Linked DNA regions of Drosophila melanogaster. The gene in region 2 interacts genetically with the main gene of each other region. Each region holds a gene or a part of one and is shown on either strand. Other genes may lie near its edges.

Region 1 (7,653 bases), on a different chromosome or scaffold from region 2:
CAAAGTTACATCAATCATTTGCGTATTTCAATCGGTCGGAAAATGGGGGGAACAAAAGGGGTTAAGCCAATGCTTTTTGTTCTACTTTTGGAAAATGCGACCGCAGAGAAGGAAAAGTCGCACTTACTTTTAATATTACAAACCAAAAGAGTAGCCAGACCAGTAAATAATGAAACAAACATTAACAATTACTAGGATGAGCTTGATTCTTAAAATTCGTAATACAATAACGGCAATCTCTTTGGTTTATAGTGTGTATGTACATGTATGTACATACATATGTAAATGCGTAATGTTTACATATTATGGCAGGTGTTTACTTTTCTTAATGAGGGATAACGGAATCGGAATCTCTGGGTCGCCGCACATTCTACAGATAATTAAATAAAAAGGGCGTGAAACCAAAACAAGGCTTAGAAATACTACAAGCTGATACAGATACACCCAACCAGCACACACACATACACTAGAATTTAGCGATAACAACAAAATGCGGGCAACTTATTTATGCAGAAACAGTGAGAAAGAGCGAGAGGAGGGAGAGCATGAGATGATCAAGCCGGAAGTAAGGTTTTAAGAAAGAAGAGGAGTGTAACAGATTCATTTAACAGTAACAACAACAGCGATCGCTTACAGGTAGGGCATATGAAAGGTAGACAAACGAGAGACAGAAGAGCAAGGGTGGAAGGGAGAACTGCAAACTGCGATTTATTTAGGGATGTCTCTGTGTGCGCGCACTCATATGCACGTGCATTTGCATGTGTATTTGTGCCAGTCTGACCTCGTTGGCAAACTAAAAAAAATAATATTAAAGAGCATGAAAAAGTGTGGAACATGGCAGAGCGAATGAAGGCGGAAAAAAAGCCGCACCTAAAAAATCTATTACATCACTAGGGAAAATTGACACAAGTATTAGACATTTACATACACGCACACACAGAACCGTAAGCGTTTAAAGCGCACAAGTGTGTGCGTGAGTAAGCATGCTGAAAACGGAAGCGAATTGAGCATTGAAAAATACACTCATTTTGACCCCTTAAACATGTGAAATCCAATCAAAAGAGATAAGATAGTGGGGAAACAACATTATATGAACGACCACCAATGAAGGCTAAATACAGAGGTGGTCAAAAATACTTCAATACTGTAAATACTTTTGACCACCTCTGTATTTCAGCTAGTCATTGTATAATAGAATATGTTGAAAATGAGAAATATTCATTGATTTGTCTAAAATGTACGAAAGTGGCAAAAATCACATACATAAGTACTTGTTACTTTGAAAACAATATTTCTCCTATAGTTAACAGCGTATACCTGAAAGAAACCCTACAAAAAATATGATAAAATGCTTAAAAACCCACTCAATTTAACATTTGTGGGGGAAAACTTAAGCTATGCCGCAACAAAACCATAACTTGCGGAAACTACAAGTGCAAAAATGTACAAATATCGAGTAAAAACTGCCTAAAACCCCTCGTAAAATGATAAAATATCCAAACTAAATGAAATTTACGAACGAAGAGCAACATAAAAAATACAATCTAAGCCCATGGGCGACTACAACTACAACTGCTAGAAACTTCTTTTCAAAGGAAAGAAAAATCATTGAAATTATTCCCCGAAAACGAGAGCGAGACGGAGAGCGGCCGGCGACAAAGCGACAAGTGAGCGTGAGGCGAATTCAAGAGCCCAATACTCGCTCACACTCGCTTGGTTAACTTGGCGTGGGGACGTCGACGTCGGCAGCGTAGCGAAGTTTGTTGAAATTTTGAATGTGTGACAACGCGGTTCAGTCTGCCGCCAGCGCGGCCCGAAGCAGTGGTCTGTTACAAAAGTATATTACGATTTGCTGGCGAACACTCATCCACTGACTAACTCTCCCCCTCACCCTTTCGCCTTGTGGCTCTGGCTGCCCTGCCGCTGTTAGCGCTTTCATGTTAACGCACACTGTTAGATGGCGAATTCGATGCGAAAGGATAAAGATTTGCCGCTGGGGCAGCGAAAAAGAGAGAAAAAACACAGTGGGCAAGTGGTGCACTTTCCATAGAAGAGTGTTCCAATGTGCCCATTGTAAACCAACGATACTTTCTTACTATGACTTGTTCCACACAGCTCTGGGCCAAGAAAAGTAACTAGGAGCAAAAGAAGCAGCCCCGCGTGATGTCAGACGTCAGCCCGCCCACAAAACACACTCGAAAGGATTGAAAAATGCAGACATTTTTGTTTGGTTTTTAGCAACTCTCTTTTTTTTTTTTTGTTAATGTTTATTGGTTTCTTTTACGCACCGCTGAAATGTTAATAACAGCCCTCGTTACTGTTAAATGTTCACACTCTCTCTCTCTCATTTATTTCTTTGTGGTTTCAATGAAAGTGAGCTACAAAGCTGCAAATCGAAATTCGTAATGATTTTGAATTGATTGGACTTTTTGGACGAGAATTAGGAAAGGCGTTTGATTCTTAGTGGGGTGAACAAAGAAATATACAACTGAATAAAATATATATGAAATTTATGGAAAACGAGTTATGAAATGAGAGCGAGAGCTAGAGGAAGTGTGCGAGGGAGAGAGAGAGCAAGTTACATTATTTGCTTTGGCATTTCTTGGTACGTACGATTCGTACGATTTTCACTTAAAACTAGACTAGGCGTACAAGATGTGTTAACTATAGATACCACAAAATACAACTAAAACGAAATTCGAAGGGGGTAAAGAAAGAAAAATCAAAAGGTAAAAAGAATGAAATGAAAAAATTATCACCTTTTTTTGTGTAGTAGGTCGTCGTCTAGCTCTCCCTCCCTCTCACGATCTCTTTTGTGGCTGTGTTGCTGTCGCTGCCGCTACTCGCTCTCCCGCCTGCTCTCACTCTATATCGCTGCTGCGCTGTCTCTCTATTTATCTCTCTTTCTATCCCGTTGCCTTGCAGCGGAGCTCTGCTGCCGTCTCGCTTGCACTTGGGCTCCGCTGCTTTGCTTCAGCCGCTGAATTCGCAGTTAAGTTTTCGCTGCTCTCTGTGTCTCTTTCTGCTGCTGCTTTTGTGGTTCTTATGTTTTTGTTTTCGATTCGGATTGTAGAATCTTTTGGATTTTGCACACTTTTGGTTGATATTTCTTTAGGTTTCTCTTTGTTTTTTTTTTTTTTGGCTTGTGATCTTTTTTAGTTAAAACTCTAAACTGAGACAGGGGAGGAAAACAATGAGGGTTCGTCTAAATTTGGAGCAAGCAAGTCACACACAGCCAGGCGCGGCGGCGAATTCGGGCATATCGACTCGAGTTGCGGCGAGAGCGAACGCGGCGAACAACGGACAACACTGTGGCATTGGCAATGGCAGCGCTTGTCGCCCGCCTTCACTTCAGTGTGTGAGTCGCGATAAACGCGAGCGAAACGGGCGGCGCAACTGAAATCGCGTACCGACTGGCGCAGACACGCACACCACCGCACAACAGCGCGTATACGTATACGGGCGAGAGAGCGCATGCTCTCCGCCACACACACGCGGTCAACGTTTTCTCCGCTTTGTGGCGCCGCGCAAGTTTTGTCGCAGCAGCAAACACGCAATAAAAGTTCAAAAACAGTTGAAGTATACCGCGACGCGAGTAAAAATCTTTCCTTCGACGTCGTCTCTGTTCGTTGTAGTAGTTGTTGTTGCTGCTGTTGTTCTTGTTGCTGCTACTGCCGCTGCTTAACGTTTCTATAGTGTGTTCCGTTCCGCGAATTCTCATGTGCATTTATGAAGATATACATATATATATATATACATATATCTGCATATATGACTGACCAAAAGGTAAAACAACGGCAACAAATAAAAACAGTATACAAATTGTTGTCAAATATAGTGATAAAAAGAACCCCCACCCGCGGTAGTTCGATCGCTGTTTTGTTTAAATTAATCTGCATATCATGTTGTGCGGCGGCTGCATTTCATTTATTTTTTGCTCGCTGAAGAAGAACTTGCTTGCTCCAAAAGAATTAACAAAAAAAAATATATCTGCGTTTCGGCGCTGCGTCGACGGCATTGTTATTTCGTTCGTATTGTTGTTAAGTGTGAGTAGTAGTAGTAGTTGTTGTTGTTGTTTCGCTACCAGAGCTGAATAATGTAGTTGACCAAAAATTTTGAGAGCACAAGTCTGAGCACACACGATACGTCTTCTTCGTTTGGCCGTTTCACTTTGAGCAGCGTGACCGTGGTGCGTCGCTATAATATGCCCCGCGAGCCGTGTGCGTATGCACTAACGCGTGCGGTAGAATGCCGCGAAAAAATACTAAAAAAAAATCCAAACCGAATACCATGTGGTGGAAACGGACTCGCGCGTTGCATTTGCTGCACTTTCCCGTTTAAATATATTTACCCGTTTGATTATAAGATAAGGGTTACATTTTGTGCAAATATACGCTTGCCAATGTTTTTGAAAAGTAATATAAACAATTTTATGGTGCGCAGACAGCAGAAAAAATATGCTGCAAAAATACCAACTTGCTGGCTATCAGAGACTCGAACCTTCTAGTGCAAATCAGCTGTGATCGATGTTTTTTTCCATTAAATTGGCACGTTTATTTAAAATTGTTTATGCATTTAGTTTAGGTACATGAATGTTACATGGGACTTTTACAGAGTGGCTAAAACATATATACATACAATATATACATATACAACAATTTGAATTGCAGATTCTCCACCGCTCTGGATATGCGAACAAAGTCCTTAGCTGCAGCGACATTAGTTTAAATTTCAAGCCGGCTATCGCATGGTGATTCCACCTGCACGTGCAAAGCGCGACTGTGGATATCGCAGGACGAGAGTCGCGTCTTCTCCTGCGAGGAGCAACTGCATCATAATCATAGCCACAGATTGAAAAGACCGAAAGCAGATGCAAGCTCAACGACAGGACTAAGAATCGGAAGCAAAACTTCCCCAAAGCAATGGCACAGTAAGTAGACAAGTGCTGCGCTTTCAAGAAGATGAGCACTTTAATCAAAACCATTTCGAAATTCTTGTTTAGATACACCCGGAAACGCAAAAGAAAGAAATTTAAAGAGCTGAAAGCCCCGTGGACTTCATGTAAGCTGCTTACAATAAGCTGCCTTTTTAGATGCACTAAAAAAAAACTACTTTTGCTTATAGGAACCCAGGTGCAACAAATAATTTCAAGGAGAAGATGTTTTTGTGGTCAAAAACGTGCAGATGACTTCTAAGAAGTTGGAAAATCATGTATTTACTCGGAAAGAAGCCAGAACTGAAGTAGCATACTTATTAGTATTATCAAATGATGAGTTTTTTCATCATAGTTTTAGTTCTATATTTATAGAAAAAAAAAACTTTCCTTGTTACTTTTAGTTTTTTCATTTGAAAGACTGCCGTTGACTTTTTCATTTTATTCGCGTGCATATTAAATATGTGTGTTAAATATACATAATAATAAATGATCGCTGTGTTTATGCACTTGCTTTGTTTTCACTCTTTATTTATTTATATTTATTCTTTTTGATTAACTATAGATTGTTTTAAAAAGGTATAAACGACGTTTAAAATTTTTATCCTGGACATAAACCAATGATTAAGCGGTGTTCCACACCCATGAGTATTATGTAGTATTTTTCACAGTATATACGGTATATAAAACGGTCAGCCAGAAAACGGTCTGTCTAATCGTTAATTTCTATGTTAATAAAATTTGAGTATTAAAATACATCGAAAGTGCAGTTTTTTTTTGTCCACTTTTTCCTTTATTTCTAACTTTTCACTAAGAATTCCAATAAATTGTTTTATCTTTCTCTCGATTCCCTATTCCTTCTTTCGCTGTCCGAGCATTATTTGTTATACCTTATTCGCGTTTTCTCTTTGGGTGTACGCCAAATTTTTGGCGGGCTCACGATTCCGTAAGATTGCAGCTACTTTATTTCGCTTTTTCCTTTATTACTCACTTTTGATGATGCTCGATTTTGGCGCGCTTTCTCATTTATGGTGCTTTAGTTGTAAGCCCAACTCGTGGATGTGGTGGATTTTTTGCTTTGGTACAAATTCTTTTTAACAGACTTCTCAGCGATAACGCATTTGACAATTATATTTTGAATCAAATGCACGTTACAAACAATAACATGTGTGACCAATGTAACGTTATCGATAACGTATCCCACAAGTTATACAACACTGCTAGGCAGCACTTTCCAGCCCTGGAAAAATACCAAGACATCTACCATCTCTCTAAAAACGAAAACATCAAAGATTTACTACACCAAATTAAAATAAACTTATAAATCTTTGCAACCTTAAGTCCGTGGCAATTTCCATTTTGCATTTCCATATCCGGCTGGCCAAATAATTCCACGACATTTACGGATGTCGCGGTAACCTAAACACAAAAAAAATAAATAAATATAAATAAAATAAAATAAAATACATTAAAACGGATCATCAGCTGTCGTTAGAACCGAAACGGACTAAGGGCGGAGGAACTGGCACTGAACCTATGGGCCAGCATGTATCCGGTGGCGTTTGTCTTGCTGCTGCTGGTTGCACCTAATGCCGACGCGAATTTGGGACGCGATGACGAACGATTCCACGAGGAGCTAGTGGTTCGTCCATTGTCCGGCGACCATGTCAACACCTACTTTCAGTTCACCACGCGCTGGCACTACGGCGAAAAGGATAATCGTGAGTTTTTTCAGCGGCCGAAGTCCGCATCATTGCGATTGCAAAAATGGGGCGGGAATCTCACCCACCGGCATACGAAAATACAGGCCATTGCATGCCGAAAGGTGTTCCTACATATATGTATACATATGCGCCCCATTGAAGCATCATTAGAACTTCTGGTTAACCGATTAAATGCTTATATTGTGTCTACCATTTGCTCTTTCAGTTTACCACACCCAATTGACGCCTCGAGTAATTGCGGAGCTGTTGCAGCAGTTTGCGGTAAAGGAGCTGCACATTGGCCTAACCCAGGGACTGTGGCGCTACGAGACATGGGGCTATCCCATTGTGGAGGCCACCAGCGGTGCCGAGATGTGGGCGTGGTTCAGTGGCGCAAATTTGACCAACCGGGATGTGGATCGCCAGTGGAAGGAGTTGGCCAACGTTTTCTCGGGCGTGTTGTGCGCCTCGTTGAATTTCGTCGACAATACGAATAGCATTGCACCGAGGCACTTGATTCGTCCACAATTTATGCCAGCCAATGGCCAAAGATTCGTTCGCTATGCCACATTGCCGCGTGAGATCGTGTGCACGGAGAATCTGACGCCGTGGAAGAAACTACTGCCATGCGGTAGTGCCTCAGGCTTTGCCTCACTTCTCAACTCGGGACATGTACACAACACCAAATACCATTCGCTGGGCCTGAAGGTGCGCGTGCTCTGCGAGGATCACGATGAGGACAATTGCATTGTGGAGCTGACGCAGACGGCCAACTTGGTCTACGATCTCCGTCTGTTCGAATTGAGCAACAATGATTTCTCGCTGCGCCGCCTGTTCGGCATGGGACTGAATGGCTATTGTGAGCTGGCCGAGAGCTCCAAGATCTATGTGCAGCGCAACGAGCTGGGCGAGCGCTATCAGCTGGTTCCAGAACCCGTGCACGAAGTGAAGACCACTCGTGGTGGGCATAGTGTCGTCTATTCCGTCTACGATATGCACGAGCAGTTCAAAGAGGCC
Region 2 (7,454 bases):
GTTGCAACACGATTGTTCGAGCGCAAGCAAAGTGGTCTCCTGGAGAATGCGGCTGGGCTTATAGTCTGCGGTGTGACCCCAGCCAGTGAGGGTGTAGAAGTGAACCTTCTCCAAGGGTTCGGTTTTTCCCCAGAATTCTGGGGAATCAGTCAAAGCGAGGCTTCGCTGCGTATAGCGTTAAAATTTGCTGAAGATAAGCTTCGCTTATGTACATAAATACTAATGCAGATATTATTGACCCGAATGGCGTCTACGACAGAAGTCAGGGGAGCCATTAAACCACTCGAGATAATATTTTGGATTGATAATATTTTCTTAGAAAAGCCAACGAAATGTTATTATGAGTAGCTAGAGTCTAAGCTGGAAAGCTCTGCTGAAGTCTTCGATGGCGTTCACAATCCAGTCCCTGTGGTGCGTAACGTTGGTGTAAACGGAGAAGGAATGGCATGCCGCCGACCCGTAGCTGACCAGTCCGTACTGGAAGGTCAGCCAGCTGCCGGCAAAAGGAACCTGTGCGCTCAGCGGGCCTCCCGAGTCGCCGTGGCATGCATCGCTATTTGTGCCAGCAGCACAAATCTGCGACTCATCCACCTGCTTGGTGAACTTGCTTCGGCAGAAGTGGAGGTCGGTGTTGTACACAGTGGCCCTCTGGAGCCTCCGGCTGGGCGTGCCATCGTTGGTGACACCCCAGCCGGTGATGTTGAAGATGGGACTTTCCGCCATGTGTCCCTCGACCAGGAGACAGATCGGCCGGACGTAGTCTGAAAGATATGTCCACTGCTTAGGGAGCCCTGGCTGCTGGATCCACCTCATTACCTGAGTACTGGACGAAGCTCTTCATGCGCAACAGGCCGATGTCGTTGTCCAAGTTTAGGTTATAATCCGCATGCAAAATCTTTCTATCCACAGCGAGTTCATATGACTTGGGCACGCAGCAATCCTTGCCAGGAAAGCGGGTGTCATACTCGCCCAAGCGTATTCTCCTGAGTTTATATGACTTGGGCACGCAGCGCGAGCAATCCTTGCCAGGAAAGCGGGTTTTATACTCGCCCAAGCGTACTCTCCTGTGGAAATGGGAATTCGTAAGTGTTCGCCGAAAGACAGTGCTGCCTCACTTACATGTGTGTACTAACGATGCAATGGGCGGCCGTGAGAACGAAGCCTGAAAGTATTAGCAGCAGGTGACTGGACAAAGAACTCATTCGTGGGCCACATTTGAATACTTACGACTGGTGATTAGCGAGCCACCACATAGTTTCTCGCCTAGCACCTTCACCATCCATGGATTTGAGAATAGGCCTGCGTCTGCGCCCCCGGTGATCATTGGGATAAATTCTGGTTTTGTCGTGCCACAACTGGAGTCTAGCAGGTGACCAGGTGCTCCTTCACCCAACTGGATGGAGCAGACCAGAAGAGCTAATCCAGCTGCGATGAACTTCATCTTTTCGCGGTAATGGAGCGACTGGCAAGCTTAGTCGAGTTTGAGGTAATTTTTGAGGAATTTTATGTTGACCAGCTGATAACAGTACACTCTTTATGACCGTCAACGGAAACGGATATGATAGGAATCAGTGTTTTGTTTTAATGAGTGCTCTCAGTACTTTTTTATTTTTATTTTATTTACGAATCTGGGGAAATTCCAACTCACTACCAAAAATTAGACCCCTGTGATGCTTTGTCTTGCGCCAACTACTTATACAAATTTGAACTTGAATATTTTTCCTGCTTAGCTTCTCGATTAACCCTTCGAAATGCAGTTATCTGGGTAAACGAATATTCATCGCGATCAGTTGTGGAATATAATTTAATCTATTCTTTAATAAATCCAATTAAATGCTGCTAGTTATGAATTTTAATAGTAACAAGCAACTTAATTTGTGTTTCATATAACAAATCATTAGTGTGACCGAACTCAACTCATAGGTGGTGTCATAGCCGCATAATAAGACCGTATTTGGATGTTGCAGTGCACTCTCCAATAAGAATCAAGTTTAACCTCGTTTCAAATCATTTATTCGCCGATTTCACGTTGGGTCCGACACAAACAGCTCTGAAATGTTGATGCGACAATTAAGACTAAGTTACTGGCCGCCTAGTGGTGCTCGGCGTGCTCCTTGGCCTGCGATTCGGCCCATGCCTTCTTGTTCTCGGGCGAGTTGGCTGAAAATGGGCAGGAGGGAGAAGTGCATTAGTACAAGGGGCCCAGAGGTCGCGAGGCGAGTGTTACGCACCCAGCTTGCTGATCTTGTAGAACACGGGCACGCAGGCCACGGCCGCAATGAAGTAGTAGCGCCAGATCCATTGGTTCTTGATGTAGTGCTTGATGGGGAATTGGGCTATCTTCGCGGAGAAAGTGTATGGGTAGCGCATGGGGCGTCCAGCGGGTTTCTCGGCAGCAGCTTTGTCGGCCATGGTAGTCGTGGAATTCGCAGCTGTGGAGGGTCGAATTAAACGAAATCAATTTACGCAAAAATTATGTAATTTTCGGAGGCGGCAGACGAACATACGAACCTCACAAATAAAAGACAGCTATGGGAATGCCAACTCGTGCGGCGAGGAAAGCACCAAAAATGACACTGGCTGCTAGCGAGTCTGGCAAGGCCGGCCATGTGTTTACCGCGGCGAATCAAGACGGTTATCGATTCACTTACATCGCTATCAACTGGTGGACGTTTTTTTGCCATCGTGAGCAAAACTTTCGAGTTACTTTTCCCGAATAATAATATAGAATCGTAAGGTAAAGACAGCAAGCACACTGCTTAGGTGCTATAAGCCAGCATTCGTGCTTACCCATAGACGCAGGATTCAGCTTGGATCTTAATTGCACCGCCACAGGAGTCTGAACCTTTTTTAACCTTTTCACATCCTTTTTCACCTTAATTGCCATGTCTCTCTCTTTTCAAGCTTTCAAAATGGTTTTAACTAGCGAACAGGTGCCACAGGTAGCTAGCTTGCCTCTTAGTAACTAATTTGCCAAGTAGCGAGTTTCCCAAATTTAGTTTTGATTTAGCATGTCGGCCGATTTGATTTCGTATTTGATCCAAACAGTTTGATAGTTTTACATATTGTTACATCAATAACTAATTCCGTACTCCCTATCTGGACTGGGACTGACGCCCAGACTTTGAAGAGCAAGCACAAGAAGCAAAGGCAACGCAATCGACCGCGCAACAAACGAAATCGCCTGGAAGACAGCCATTCAACGACACAAGAAACATCAGCCATCGACGCCACGAGTGCAATGCCCGGAAATGCTGTGGATCCATTGGCCACGGAGAAGACTCGTGACCAGATAATGGCCGAGCGGGAGGCGAAGAAGCTGGCTAAGCAGGCCAAGAAACAGAAAACTGCACCGACTCCTACTGCCGCCACTCCTGCTGTTCTGACCACTCCCTCTGCTCCGGCCACCAAAATCATCACTGAAGTGGAGCAGACCACCATTACCACTAAGCTGACGACCACCACCACAACAAAGGTGCAGGATGCAGTGGCTTCAAAGACGACTCAGCCAGCTGCGGTAAATGGCAAGGATGCGGAGGCGGGTGAAAAGACACGCGAGCAGATCAAGGCGGAACGCGAGGCCAAGAAGGCAGCCAAGAAAGCTGGCAAAGGCGGGGGAGCCAAGGTAGAGGGCATCGCACAACAGCTCGCTGACCTGAAAGTAGCAGAAAAAGCTCCAGTCGCAGCCAGTGCTGCACCTTCGACAACAGAAGCGGACCAGGAAAAGGTAACTTGCTACATTTATGATTTCCTTGCTTCATATACATCTCACCTCACCTTGCACAGAAAAAGCCAGCTCTTAGCAAAGCGGAGCGTCGCGCTATCCAAGAAGCCCAACGGGCAGCCAAGGCCCAGGTACAGACTAAAAAGGCCCAGCATGCAGCCAAGGCACCACCCAGCGCAGCTCCCAAAGGGCCGAACCGGAAGAGCGTTTCCCCCACCACAGCGGCCACCAGCAGTTCCCCCGTCAAATGTCCAGCCAGCACGCCCAATGTAGACTGCCGGGTGAAGCTGTTCAACCATCTGGTGTGCGCCAAGGAAGACAGCCAGTTCATCAACGATCCACTCGTTCATCCGAGCATTGCGCGCTTGGGTGTTCAGTACGCCAAGCGCACGGTGGTGGGGTCCAATGCTCGATGCATTGCCTTCCTGCACGCCCTGCGCCAGGTTGTCCACGACTTTGAGACGCCCGCCAAGAAGGAGTTTGGTCGCAGCCTGGACGCCGCCGTGAAGCACCACGTAGACCACCTGCACAAGTGCCGACCGCTGGCCGTGTCCGTGTCCAATGCGTACAAACAATTCAAGAACCAACTGACACAGCTGCCGGCGGATGTTCCCGAAACGGAGGTAAGAATCAAAATATATTTTTTTAACTCAATTGGTAACATGCATTTGCTCAACAGTCGAAGGAGCTGCTCGTCCACTTCATCGATACTTACATTGAAAATCAAATCGGCAAGGCGGCCCAAGCGATCAGCGGTTTTCTGCAGGAAAAGATCACCGATGGCGACGTGCTGCTGACCTTCGCCTGTTCCTCCCTCATTCAGTTCATCTGCGAGGAGGCCAAGCGGCGCCAGGTGGCCTTCCGCGTGATTGTCGTCGATTCGCGACCCGGATGCGAAGGCCAGGAGCTGCTGCGCCGACTGCACGCCACCGGAATCCCGTGCACCTACGTGCTGATCAACGCCGTGGGCTATGTGATGGCGGAGGCCACGAAGGTGCTGCTGGGAGCACACGCCCTGCTGGCCAACGGATACGTGATGGCGCGAACGGGCACCGCCCAGGTGGCCCTGGTGGCCAATGCCCACAACGTGCCGGTGCTCGTGTGCTGCGAGACGCACAAGTTCAGCGAGCGCTTCCAGACGGACGCCATCGTCTACAACGAGCTGAGCGATCCCAACCAACTGGTGCGCGGCGACAAGTGCCAGCTAAGCAACTGGGCGGCCAAGGGAAAGCTGTTGCCGCTCAACCTGAGCTACGACATTACTCCGCCGGAGCTGGTGAGTGCCGTGGTCACCGAGGTGGCCATCCTGCCCTGCACCAGTGTTCCCGTCATACTCCGCATCAAGCCAGACATTGGCTACTAATCAGACTTCATCGATCGCTCAGTAGAACTCGCAGTTGTTGAATAAATAAGTTTTATTACACTTTGATCAAATCGACAAACAAGATTGATGCGTAGTTCATAATTTACGGGTATGCTAGTGGAATATGCTTGATGCCAGGGACCGCTGCTGCGAAGGAGGGCTAGGCCCAAGTGTCTGTACATCCGGCAGACCGCCGAGTTCCTCGGAAATTATAAATATTTTGATCAAGAGCAAGTCTGCGCTCTGACATGCAATTGTACTTTCCGTGCGGGTGGGGCTGGGATTAGCAAATATGTAGCTCTAGATTCTAATAACAAAATACAGTTTTGTGCCCGGCTTATAGACTAGGACGATGCCTGGAAGCCAATCGCTGGTGGATTGATTTGGTTTTGCTCTTTTGATTTCCATTTGCAACAACTTGAATGAGCTTCTACAAGCAGCTAAGTCTACAAATGCAACAATAAATACACACAATAAATTTAATAGCGTTTCCATATCGATTGCACACCCTAGCTCCGCTCCATTCCTCGATCCTGCCTGCCTTGCCTCTACGGGCTTTGCTTTTGCATTTGCCGGAAGCAGCCCCGGCACACCGGCACCGGCTTTCCACTGTCGTGTCCTGGCAGAGCCACGTTCTTGTCTATGCAGCGCTCGCAGAAGATGTCCCCGCAGCGCCAGCAGTGAGTCTATTCGAGGATTGGATCATCATCAGTGGCAGGCTTGCTTAAGTACGCGGAGTTACCCACCTTTTTGCTGAACTGATCGAAGGGCGTGGAGCAGGAGCAGGTGGTTACGTTGCGCATGGGCTTCCAGTCTACGGCCACGGAGTTGATCTCCTCGGGCAGCGCCTGCGGCGGACTGGATTGTTCCGCGCTCAGCGACAGACTGGCGAAGGACATGTTGCTGGCCTTCAGCGGATGATCGTCGTCGGCGGCAGACAGTTCGCTAAGCTTCTTATCGTAGTTGTATCTGCAATAAGCGGATGGATTATAAAGCATACTATAGCATAATAACTAATATCTATCATACGCACTTGTTGTCATTGATCTCGTTGCTGGAGAGCTCCTTGTTCACTTTGCCAGGGGCGCTGGTGGCGTCTTGCAGTTTCTTGGCCGACTTGGAAATGTAGTTCTTGAAGCTGGCTATGCGCTTGGTCAGATGCTGCACGTGGTCCTCCAGCGAGTTGCAGTGCTCCTTGCTATCGAGCAGCACGTCGCCCAGTGGCTCCCGCGGATGAATGCCGCTCTCGAAGCGACTGTACATGCCGCGCCAGAACCTGTGTGAGAAGCGCATAGTTTATATAGGATTTGGCTCATTCCAGAAAGTCCTCACTTGATGCACTGCGGTGCCAGGTTGGCCTTAATGGCCTCGTCTACATTTGGTTTGTACAGCGGGTTGATATACTCGTTCAGGTGATTGGCCATATAGCCCCACAGCGAGAAGGTGCGCTCGGCCAGCTTTAGGTCCAAGCGATCCTTCTCGCAGTTGCCCACGAAGGTGCCGAATTGACATGAGTGCACATGGTCGTGCAGGATGAGCAGGAACCGCTCGTTGAACTCGAAGGCCTCGCTGCGCTGCGACATTAGCTGCCAGGTACAGTCCAGGAACTGTGTGAAGATCGGCGACACCTCGCGGGCATCCGTCTGGATGTGACCGCAGCGCTCGCTGAACTTGTGCCCGAATGCCAGCCAGTCCTTCTCGATTAGCGCCTGGAAGCCCTTGATGGTTCGGTAGTAGGGGTTCAGCATCAGCTGCGCCAGTGAACAGACCTGGGCCGTGCGGTCCCAGCCGTCGGAGCAGTGGACCACCACCGAGACGCCCTTGTCCACGGCGTTGGCGATGAAGCTGCAGGGTGACACACACAGAATGTTAACAACTCAGTCCACAATGCCATTGGGAGATTCTCCTGTCTGTTGGCTCACCTCGACGTGTCCAATATGGAGCGAATGTGCTTCAGCCAGCCGGATGACTCCAGGGCATTTATGAAGGCGCTCATCGTGGGCGACTTCTGTTCGCAGGCCTCAAGCACCTTTTGCAGACTGGCACGCTGGACGTGGATGTTCTCAATGCCGAGGAAGTGGAATTTGATGTTCTCGTAGAAGGCCTCGTTCTCGTATCCCTTGCCGGCGGCTCTGTTTGCCATGGCATTAATCTGCAAATGGCGTAAATGGATTATTTGCATTTATGCTCGCCTCGGGAGATTCCCCTGTCACACTCACCCGCGGTCGCGTGTCCACCACATACATGTAGTCCGTGTTGGAATTCGTCTTGCGTATGGCCTCCAGCATCTGCTCATCCTCCAGACAGCGGGCACTGAATCCGGACAGGGGCTGACTGCAGCGGCAGATGGAAGCCTGCAGTGGTTCC

What was found. Genes that interact genetically often act in the same process or in processes that back each other up.
Region 1: of eIF2Bdelta (region 2) and Trf2, changing one suppresses a phenotype caused by changing the other (phenotypic suppression), as found in Drosophila melanogaster (one study listed by BioGRID).

What each region holds. Positions count from the first base shown.
Region 1 is NC_004354.4:8,405,796-8,413,448, reverse strand, and holds the start of Trf2 (TATA box binding protein-related factor 2), read right to left. Parts: upstream 4,178-7,653; 5' UTR 4,085-4,177; exon of another isoform or gene 3,697-4,084; coding exon of another isoform or gene 3,475-3,696; exon of another isoform or gene 3,168-3,474; 5' UTR 2,760-3,167; exon of another isoform or gene 1,791-2,759; intron 1-1,790. Other genes in the region: lawc (leg arista wing complex), read left to right, coding at 3,475-3,696; PIG-T (phosphatidylinositol glycan anchor biosynthesis class T), read left to right, coding at 6,480-6,654, 6,863-7,653.
Region 2 is NT_033778.4:23,383,886-23,391,339, forward strand, and holds eIF2Bdelta (eukaryotic translation initiation factor 2B subunit delta), read left to right. Parts: upstream 1-2,635; 5' UTR 2,636-2,737; intron 2,738-2,904; 5' UTR 2,905-2,912; coding exon 2,913-2,942; intron 2,943-3,018; exon of another isoform or gene 3,019-3,121; coding exon 3,122-3,727; intron 3,728-3,786; coding exon 3,787-4,347; intron 4,348-4,403; coding exon 4,404-5,087; 3' UTR 5,088-5,167; downstream 5,168-7,454. Other genes in the region: CG30414 (uncharacterized protein), read right to left, coding at 349-761, 817-1,064, 1,120-1,162, 1,228-1,441; roh (reduction of Rh1), read right to left, coding at 2,093-2,160, 2,232-2,412; Mtmr6 (myotubularin related protein 6), read right to left, coding at 5,636-5,773, 5,834-6,056, 6,121-6,363, 6,420-6,932, 7,010-7,239, 7,307-7,441.